Sus scrofa: one gene and its partners. Each later gene encodes a partner of the first gene's protein in a complex. Links are inferred from orthologs where the notes say so. Each region holds a gene or a part of one and is shown on either strand. Other genes may lie near its edges.

Region 1 (2,494 bases):
AGCATGTTATCTAGTTATTAGCTATAATGCTAATTCATAGAATCAAAGATTTTTAGGTGTATGAGGGAAGTGAGTATTAGAAGTCAGCTAGTCAGTGTTTCTGTTAAGTGCACGTCTCAGAACACTGGCCTCTAGGAAAAAAGCATTTCCCAGTCAGACAGGTTTGGGAACCCTGCAGTCTATCTTCCTCCCTTGAATTATTTATAATGAGAAGTCAACACTCAGCTGGCCTTTCCCAAACTTATTTAACCATGGAGTCTTTTTTTTTTTTTTTTCCCTTCTGTGTAATAACTGTTAACATCCTGCTGTAGGAAATGAGTCCAGTCTCATAACGGAGGTCCAGAAAATTAAGCCACTCAACCCAAGGCAACAGAGCCAGTAATGACACAACTAGAACATACTGCTGCTGGCTTCCCTCAGAACGGCTGCATATTTGTATTGACAGCAATGCCTTCAAAACATTCCAAGATTATTTTTTCCCTTGAAATTATTTAAAGAATCGTTTCTAGAGTATCTAGGATCCTAGTTTAATTTACAGAGATTTATCTCTTAGCAGATGGAAAATGTGTCAATTGCCTCATTCAATTTAGTAGTACTCTCTATTCAAATGCATCAGAAACAGAACCTGAATAGTAAGCTGTGGGGGAACTAAAGGCTCAGGAGGCTCTCAGTTAGACGGGTGGGGAAGGGAGAAAGCCAGTAAGCAATTAAACAAGGAGCTATGTAATTACAAATTACGACACGTGCTACGAAGATGAACTACGTGCCGTCAGAATGAGCTTACATTTGCAATCACTTTTTAATTGACCCTGATTCAGAAGGGATCAATAACAGCTAGTTTTATGGTTATCTTGGTACTCAGCTTCTGACTACAGTCTGAACCACGTTAACAACCCCTCCCTTCTTGTTTTTCCAGCCGGGCAGAACAAAATGAGAGCGCTTTGAGCCGGCCCAACCTCTCTCCCAGCCGTCCCCGACGCCCACCATGAACCACTTGGAGGGGGCCGCGGAGGCGGAGGTGGAAGTGACCGACGAGGCGCCAGGCGGGGAGGTGAACGAGCTGGTAGAGGCCGACCTGGAGCACCCCGAAGTGGAGGAGGAGCAGCAGCAGCAGCAGCACTATGGGGGCCGACCCTCGCGCGGGCGCGCTGTCGAAGACCTCCGAGCATCGCCCGGGCAGCAGCAGGAAGAGGAGGAGCGCGGGGAGTGCCTGGCGCGCTCTGCCAGCACCGAGAGCGGCTTTCACAACCACACGGACACCGCTGAGGGCGACGTTATTGCCGCGGCCCGCGACGGCTACGACGCCGAGCGCGCGCAGGACCCAGAGGACGAGAGCGCATACGCCGTGCAGTACCGACCCGAGGCCGAGGAGTACACGGAGCAGGCGGAGGCCGAGCATGCGGAGGCCACGCACCGCCGCACACTGCCCAACCACCTGCACTTCCACTCGTTGGAACACGAGGAGGCCATGAACGCTGCATACTCGGGTTACGTCTACACGCACCGGCTCTTCCACCGCGGCGAGGACGAGCCCTACGCTGAACCCTACGCCGACTACGGGGGCCTCCAGGAGCACGTGTACGAGGAGATCGGAGACGCGCCCGAGCTGGACGGGCACGACGGCCTGAGGCTGTACGAGCAGGAGCGCGACGAAGCAGCTGCGTATCGCCAGGAGGCCCTGGGCGCGCGGCTACACCACTATGATGAACGCTCCGACGGCGAGTCTGATAGCCCGGAGAAGGAGGCCGAGTTCGCGCCCTACCCGCGCATGGACAGCTACGAGCAGGAGGAGGACATCGACCAGATCGTGGCTGAGGTCAAGCAGAGCATGAGCTCACAGAGCCTCGACAAAGCAGCCGAGGACATGCCCGAGGCCGAGCAGGACTTGGAGCGTGCTCCTACCCCAGGCGGGGGCCGCCCCGACAGCCCTGGCCTGCAGACCCTGGCGGGGCAACAGCGGCTGGCGGGTACCGTGGGCAGCGAGGCGGTGCAGCGGTACAGCAAGGAGAAAAGGGATGCCATCTCGCTGGCCATCAAGGACATCAAGGAGGCCATCGAGGAAGTGAAAACCAGGACCATCCGTTCGCCTTACACCCCCGACGAGCCCAAAGAGCCCATCTGGGTCATGCGCCAGGATATTAGTCCCACCAAGGATTGTGACGACCAGAGGCCGGTGGATGGAGATGTAAGTGTGTGCGGATTCGGACTTGCCCAGCTCTAGGCGCGGTCTTCTGGGAGACGGGCGCTGGGTGGTCATTGGGAGATGACTTGATGAGATAAATGATCAGTGGGGACGCTAAAAATCGTGTCCACCGTAAGCTTCAGAGACAGCTTGCACTAAAGCCCCAGTGAGTGAAATACAGGTGGGAGGGGATGAAGTGAGGAGAGGTTGCATAAATCAGTGTTTCTCAAACAGCCCTTGGAGCGCTTGTTCAGAAATCGATTTCCACTACTCCCTGTTCCCCAGTTTCTCACTTAGAAGGGGCGGGGCAGA
Region 2 (3,653 bases), on another chromosome or scaffold:
ACAAAGAAATTACAAGCACACTGTAAACACACTTTAAATTGTACAAAGTTGTCAAAGCCGTCCCCTGTCCACGCTCTTCCAAACAACGGAATAGAATAATGCATGCTTAAGTGACCACTCTGTTGAGTGACCAAGTCAGCGATTGAGTGAATCAAGGAATAAATTAATCAATGAATACGCCTATTTTCCTGGGCTTAAAAATTCACAGATAAAAATTCACTCTGCTCAACAGCTATTTATAAACCTTTGCCTCTCTATTTAGACCAGACGTGGCGAAGGAGTGGTTATATAAGTTGCCTCCAGGGCTCTCCACAGTCATTTCTTAAACCCTGACTGTCTGCCTGGTTCTCGGACAGATGACTCAAGGCCACCGATGACTGGCTCCTTGCTAAATTCAAAGCTTTCTGTTTTCTCAGGCCACATCCACCTTGCGAAGCACACGGCAGAACAGAATACAATTTCTTAAGTCTCCAAACCTCTGTAACAGTCATAATTATGAATCTCAAGATACAATTTAAGTGTGCTTAAAATGCAAGGTATTTTTTTGTCACTCAATGTAATACTCATTTTAGTTCCCCTTCTGCTGGGGTGGTGAGAATGTAATCTGAGCCCGTGTCAGGTGGCCTTCTCTGCCACTCCAGTGCCCCTCTTCGGTGTCCTGGCAGTGTTTAAGCCCATATCAGTCCCTGTCTGCCACATCACACAGCGGTTTCTCTTCTGAGCTTTCCCAGGAAGCACTTGAGGTTATGTCTTCCGCCCTGGGCATCAGCTGAGAGGGAAGGACTGTCTCTTCTCTGGGTCCTAGAATGCCTGATTACAGCTTTCTTCTGTTTTTCTTCTTCCTAATTCCAACCCAGAGAAACTTTAGAAGGTTTAAGAGAAGCCCCTTGTTTCTTTTTTCTCTTCTGGCCGCCCCAAGGTACATGGAGTTCCCAGGTCAGGGATCAGACCCAAGCCATAGCTGCAGCAACGCCAGATCCTTAACCAACAGTCCCAGGCTGGGGATCAAACCTGCACCCGAGTGCTCCCAAGATGCCCCTAATCCTGCTGCACCACTCTTTGAGTTTACTTATAGTAAACATTGTTTGCCCAACTACTGCCTATGCCATGATGGTCAAAAGAGTATTTTGAAACTCAAAAGCCAAGAACTGATTTTTTTTTTTCTTTCTGTAACATGTCTTATAGGTACATATGTATATCTAAATACTTCCATAGTGAATTTCCCTGAGTCTTCCTTTTTAAAGGGGTTATCCAATGAGTAACAATAGTGCCCTCCAGGAAAACTGTACTAGGTTTTGTTATCTTTTTCACAGTAAGAGAGAATACCTTTTTTCTCTATCCTTCTCGGTACACCATATTCAAAAATATATCTTTACCATTTTAAAATCAAACTTATGGCTACTAAAGGGCAAACTGTGGGGTGGGAGAAGGAATCAATTGGGAGGATGGGATTAACACATACAAACGACTCTACATAAAACAGACAGCGAACCAGGACCCACCGTATAGCACAAGGAGGTCTACTCTGTAATAACCTATGTGGGAAAAAAGAATGGATATATTTATATGTATAACTGATTCACTTTGCTGTAACTTGAAACTATTACAATATTGTAAATAAACTATACTCCAAAACATTTTAAAAATAGGAAAAAAATTAAGTCTACACTTAAGTGTTAAAAATTTTTTTTTTCATCTATATTTCTTTATCAGGGAGCTTGGACTTTCTTCATAGGTTTATTGACCTTTTTTTTTTTTCCATTTTTCGCTCACACACTCGGCACATGGAAGTTCCCAGGCCAGGGATTGAATCCCAGCCACAGCTGCTACCTATGCTACAGCTGCAGCAATGCTGGGTCCTTTAATGTACCTCGCCAAGCCAGGAATCGAACCTGCACGCTGCAGGGACCCAAAGGCACTACGATTGGATTCCTAACCCACTGTGACACAGCAGCAACTCTGGCCATTTTTTGAAATGGTTATTAACTTGCCCATTTTGCTTAATCTTTATTGACTTGTAAGAGCACTTCGTTTGAAGAGTATTCGTAACAAATTGACTCCTGTGTTGAAAATATTTTTTTCCGTTTGCTACTTGACTTTTTTAATGGTGTGTGAGACTGAAAGGTACCGTTGTTAAATATGACTTTGTGGGGAGTTTCTTGCCGTTTTTACTTGAGAATTCCTTGTGCATCACCAGATGATAACATTGACCTGTGCTTCAGTTGTTTCATGGTTTTATTTTGACATGTGAATGTTTAATCATTCTGTTATCTTTCGCATAGACTGTGAGATTGGAGTCCACACTATTTTTTATCATTTAATTATTATCTGTCCCAGCATCAAGATTTAACAGTCCTTTTCCCGTTTGGTCTAAATCCTACATTTATCATAGGATAAAATTGTATGTGATGGATCTACTTCTAGACTCCATTTCCTTCTACTGTCTCTTACTACACCAATGAGACATTGCTTTCAGCATTGTAGATTCTTAATAAATGTTAAAATCAGACAGGCAAAGTCCCCCTTCCTTACTCTTTTCAAATTTTTTCCACGTTTCCGGAATAATTCATTTCCTTCCCCGGAAATTTAGAAAGCGCATTCTCAGTGTTAGTGTTATCTCTGAGGTCTTCATTGCCTCTCACCCTCCTAGCTTGAACCTCTGTCCTGCACCCCGGTGCAGCCTGATGGTTGGTTCAGCTACAAATGTAATAACTAATAATGATGGTAGCGAATCCCCTTTGCCATCTGGAAATTTCAAACCAGGACTATACTTTTGATACGAATTTTAAATTTGGCTCTAGAGCAAAGAATGTGGCAACTCTCCCCTTTAAGAAATGTCACTGTCTTTCCAGAGTGTGGAAGGGGAACACCATGAGAAAGCCGTGGAACTCCTCAAGGCTGCTAAGGACAGTGTCAAGCTGGTGGTCCGATACACCCCAAAAGTCTTGGAAGAAATGGAGGCTCGATTTGAAAAGCTCCGGACAGCGCGGCGTCGGCAGCAGCAGCAATTGCTAATTCAGCAGCAGCAACAGCAGCAGCAGCAACAAACACAGCAAAACCATATGTCATAGGTGAGAGGTGCCTTTTTCCATACAAGGAAAGTCCCTTACACATACAACTTCGGGTTTGTTTTTTTTTTAACATAATTTCTTAGACAGCTGGAACATAATCATTAGATTTAATACTAATATAAAAAATCAAACAAAAAACAATGACCTCAGAAAGTGTAAACCCCACAGTTGCTTCCTTTATGTGTGATTCAGCCACATTCTCAGCAAATTTAAGATATTTGAAAAATGACATACTTTGGGAGGGCTAGGTATAGACTGTACAGTGCCTATATGCAGAGTACAGAAATGCGGCCTCTATGCAAACCCATCCCCAGGCACGTGGCTGGACGACGGTGTGTGGGCTAGATTCCAGCCCCCCTCACCACCGTAGCTAGTTGCTTTTGCACATTGTACAAACTTAACAACCATGTAGAGCAGAGCCTAGGAAGCTCTCCTTTAGACTACTGAAGCACGGTTTACTAGCAAACTGCTGCACTGGAAAGGATGAAGTAGAGACCTGCTAGTGCTTATGCTGTGAGATACGTGTGTGTATATATTTTTTTAAAGGCCGCACTCATGGCATATGAGGTTCCCAGACTAGCA
Region 3 (3,736 bases), on another chromosome or scaffold:
CAGCAGGAGCATGCCAGCATACAAGGCTGTGTGCATCAACCGCATCCTGCCGACCTGTTCACCTTCCTCATAAACAGCTCCAGTTCATGGAGTTCCCCTGGTGGTGCAGCGGAAACGAATCCGACTAGGAACCATTGGGGTTGCGGGTTCCATCCCTGGCCTTGATCAGTGGGTTAAGGATCTGGCGGTGCTGTGAGCTGTGGTGTAGGTCGCAGACCAGGCTCGGATCTGGCGTGGCTGTGGCGTAGGCTGGCAGCAACAGCTCAGATTGGACCCCTAGCCTGGAAACCTCCATATGCCGCCGGTGTGGCCCTAAAGACAAAAAAGACAGAACAGAAAACCAGAAAACTCCAATTCTTACTCTGCTATCCAACCATGTGGGCTCTTTCGGTCTAGAAAGTGACTCACGAGCCACCTCTGGAGCTCTCCTCCAAGGACTCTATGTCAATGTCCCTCCTGGATCCCAATTCTGATCACGGTCGTAGTTTAGTGTCTACCCGCCCCCCACCCCCCGACTAAGCTCCAGGACGGCAGTGGACTTGTGTACCCTGCTCATCACCACGCCGGTCATCTTGGGCCGAGATGTTTAACAAGTTGTCTAATAAATCTGGGAGAAAGGGATAGACAGGGGACAGACAGGTGTGGCGGGCAGCTCAGATAGACTGAGATGAAAGGTGGTGCAGACGCTGCAATGGACGGTCACAAACTCAGCGGACCGATGGAGTTTGAGGGCAGGGGAGCGAGCCCCGAGCGGAGGCCGGTAGGGCGGTGCGCACGCCAGGCCGCGCCTCTGCAGGTGGCGCTCGTCGCCGGGGCGTGGCCTCGCGCAGCCCCGCCTTCCTCGCCGGCGACCCGGCAGGCGGGTGCCTCGCAGCGGCGGCGCAGACATGGCTGCGCTGGTGGAGCCGCTGGGGCTGGAGCGGGGTAAGCGCGCCAGGCGGCCCTGCCCACCCGGCCGCGGCCTGCGTCCGGGACCCGGGCCCCGGACTCCGGGCCCCGCCCCTCCCCCGGCGGGGCCCAGGCGGGTGGGCGGGCCCGGCGGGGGTGGGCGGGGCGGGTCGCAGCAAGTCAGGCTGTCGATGGGCGTGGGAGGGTCGGCGGGCCCGCTGGACGGCGAGGGGGAGCCCGCCGCCCACCTCCGGCCGTGTGTGCCTGGGGATCCTGGGGACGCAGGGTGACTGGTGGCAGTCTCTCCACTGCCGCCGGCAGCTCTGCGGCTGTCCGACTGGGACTTGGCTGTCTTGCCCCGGGTCTGCGCTCGCCCTTCCTCGGTCTCCGGCCGCATATCTCCGGGCTTCGCTGCGTCTTCCAGTCTCTGACTCTGTGTCTGTGCGCCCCGCCCCCGCCCCGCAGACGTGTCCCGGGCGGTGGAGCTCCTCGAGCGGCTCCAGCGCAGCGGGGAGCTGCCCCCGCAGAAGCTGCAGGCCCTCCAGCGAGTCCTGCAGAGCCGCTTCTGCTCTGCCATCCGGGAGGTGAGAGCAACGCAGCGCCAGGGCCCGAGCGGGCGGGCGGCCGTCGTCCTCCTCTGGGTCGCCCCGAGCCTGGGGACTACGCCTCCCAGCAGCGACCGGGGCGGCCTTCCTTTGGGGCGCCCGCGCTTCAGCTCAGGTGTCCATTGGGAATTGTGGTTCCCGCGGCCTCCGGGCTGCAGGGGCGGGGCGGATCTGCGGGTGGGAGGGTCTGCAGGCCCGGACTTCTGGGTTGAAGGCAGGCGGGGGCTGGCGGCTCCTCGACGCTTTTGCGTCCTCACCAGGTCTATGAGCAGCTCTATGACACGCTGGACATCACCGGCAGTGCTGAGGTCCGGGCCCACGCCACGGCCAAGGTAGGCGCCCCTCGCCCCACTGCGCCTGGCATCCTCCGAATGGGATGGGCTGGCTCAGCGTCCTCCCCACGTCGGTCAGCCGTGTTTCAGGCTTCTGCCGTGTCTGTGTACCTGCCTTACTTAAGTATAAGGCATTTTACATACGCGCCCATCTTTCGCTTAAATGTCATATAAAGGCGTCTTTTGCCACTAGAAATAGAAACTAGTACCAAATGCCTGACGGGAAGCTGACCTTCGACAGTGAAATAGCGTTAAACCCCGAAATCTTACTAAACCCCAGTTAGATGCTGTTCCCTTGCTGCTTCGTGGAGGCTCTTGGCTCTGTCCAGGCCTTGTCGTTCTGTTAAAAAGTGAGATTGGCGAGTGTTGAGTCTCCGAGACTCACGCATGCCACGTGGAGACGTTCCTCTTTGATGGGGTCCAGAGGGACTAAAGAGGACTTACGGTCGCTAAGGAGTGCTCTTGTGTTGAATGGTGGAAGCGCCCCGAGCTCGAGGGCCCAGATCTTCCACCCTAGTCTGCATGCCCATCATGGGGCCGGGGGTGGGGGGTGGCCCTCAACCTCCGGAGGCTTTCTCTCTCCCAGGCCACGGTGGCTGCCTTCACGGCCAGTGAGGGCCACGCACATCCCCGGGTAGTCGAACTGCCCAAGACGGACGAGGGCTTAGGCTTCAACATCATGGGGGGCAAGGAGCAGAATTCGCCCATCTACATCTCCCGGGTCATCCCCGGCGGCGTGGCTGACCGCCACGGAGGCCTCAAGCGTGGGGACCAGCTGCTGTCAGTGAATGGTGTGGTGAGTAGGGGGCTGAGGTCACCGTCTGTCAAGGGTAGCACGGTGCCTGTTTTTTTTGGGGGGGTGGTTCTGGAGTCGTTTGTTTTTGTTTTTGTTTTGGCTGCGCCTGCAGCACGTGGAAGTTCCCAGACTAGGGATGGAACCTGAGCCACAGCAGCGACCCAGGCCTGCAGTGACAACACCAGATACTTAACCCGCTGTGCCACAAGGGAATTCCCAGTCTCCGATTTTGACAGTCATTCAACACACACTGAGCACTGCCGCTGCGACCAGCCCTGTGCCAGCCGTTGCTGCAGACTCTGAGAGTAATTGGTCCTACATTCAAGGACTCCTTCTTTGGTGAGGGAGACAGACCCTCACTGAAAAGTCCTAAACCGGAGAGATAATAATGAAGAAGCACAAAGCATTGTGAGGGCCTGGGTGTGGCACCAGACCAGTGTAGATGAAGGATGTTTTTGCAGATGAAGGCACATTTTGAGTTGGGTTTTGAAGGATGAGTAGGAGTTCTCTGGGCAAATGAGAGGGGAAAAGGGTGTTGCTGGCTGGGGATGTTTTAGGTAGGGGCCATGACTCTGCACTCCTATGTGCCGAAGAGAAGGGGCTTGGTTCTGATAGAAGGCTGGGGCAGACAATGCAAATCACTGTGGTTAGAGTAGCTGGAAGCACAACTGGACAGGTGATTGGGGCCAGCCTGAGAAGCTGGGACTTTGTCCCAAGGGTTCCTCGTGACCAGTGGGAGGGCTGTGACTAGGGGAGGGGTATGCTCGGCCTCGAGTTGTAGAAAGACCCCTTTGTCCTTTGTGGCTTCGTTGGGGATGGACTGGAGAAAGAGACTGGAGGCCAGAAGGGCAAGGAGGGTGAGCGTCCACTGGGGAGAGGACGAGGCCTGAGCTGGGGCCTGGTGGTGGGGACAAAGAAGAGGAGTCAGGCCAGGAGGGCTGGGTCGAGCTGTGGGGAGGGAGCGGATAAAGATGAACCTGCAGTCCGGCTCCGTGACTGGGAGCATATGGGGCATTTGGAAGGTTTGGGAGAAGGACGTCAAGGCAAGTGTTAGTGACTCTCCCATGAGGACATGAGGACCTGGTGTCTTGGGGCTGGTACCAGGCTCACCTACA

The links.
Region 2: APBA1 (region 1) and LIN7A share a complex: the UniProt entries of both Homo sapiens proteins name them as parts of the brain-specific heterotrimeric complex. The link is inferred for Sus scrofa from reciprocal best matches to the Homo sapiens genes APBA1 and LIN7A.
Region 3: APBA1 (region 1) and LIN7B share a complex: the UniProt entries of both Homo sapiens proteins name them as parts of the brain-specific heterotrimeric complex. The link is inferred for Sus scrofa from reciprocal best matches to the Homo sapiens genes APBA1 and LIN7B.

Annotation. Positions count from the first base shown.
Region 1 is NC_010443.5:222,836,481-222,838,974, reverse strand, and holds part of APBA1 (amyloid beta A4 precursor protein-binding family A member 1), read left to right. Parts: exon of another isoform or gene 1-916; 5' UTR 917-985; coding exon 986-2,185; intron 2,186-2,494. UniProt on the Homo sapiens protein: Putative function in synaptic vesicle exocytosis by binding to Munc18-1, an essential component of the synaptic vesicle exocytotic machinery. May modulate processing of the amyloid-beta precursor protein (APP) and hence formation of APP-beta.
Region 2 is NC_010447.5:100,669,619-100,673,271, forward strand, and holds part of LIN7A (protein lin-7 homolog A), read left to right. Parts: intron 1-2,852; coding exon 2,853-3,071; intron 3,072-3,653. UniProt on the Homo sapiens protein: Plays a role in establishing and maintaining the asymmetric distribution of channels and receptors at the plasma membrane of polarized cells.
Region 3 is NC_010448.4:54,308,701-54,312,436, forward strand, and holds the start of LIN7B (protein lin-7 homolog B), read left to right. Parts: upstream 1-851; 5' UTR 852-887; coding exon 888-924; intron 925-1,353; coding exon 1,354-1,472; intron 1,473-1,753; coding exon 1,754-1,825; intron 1,826-2,411; coding exon 2,412-2,621; intron 2,622-3,736. UniProt on the Homo sapiens protein: Plays a role in establishing and maintaining the asymmetric distribution of channels and receptors at the plasma membrane of polarized cells.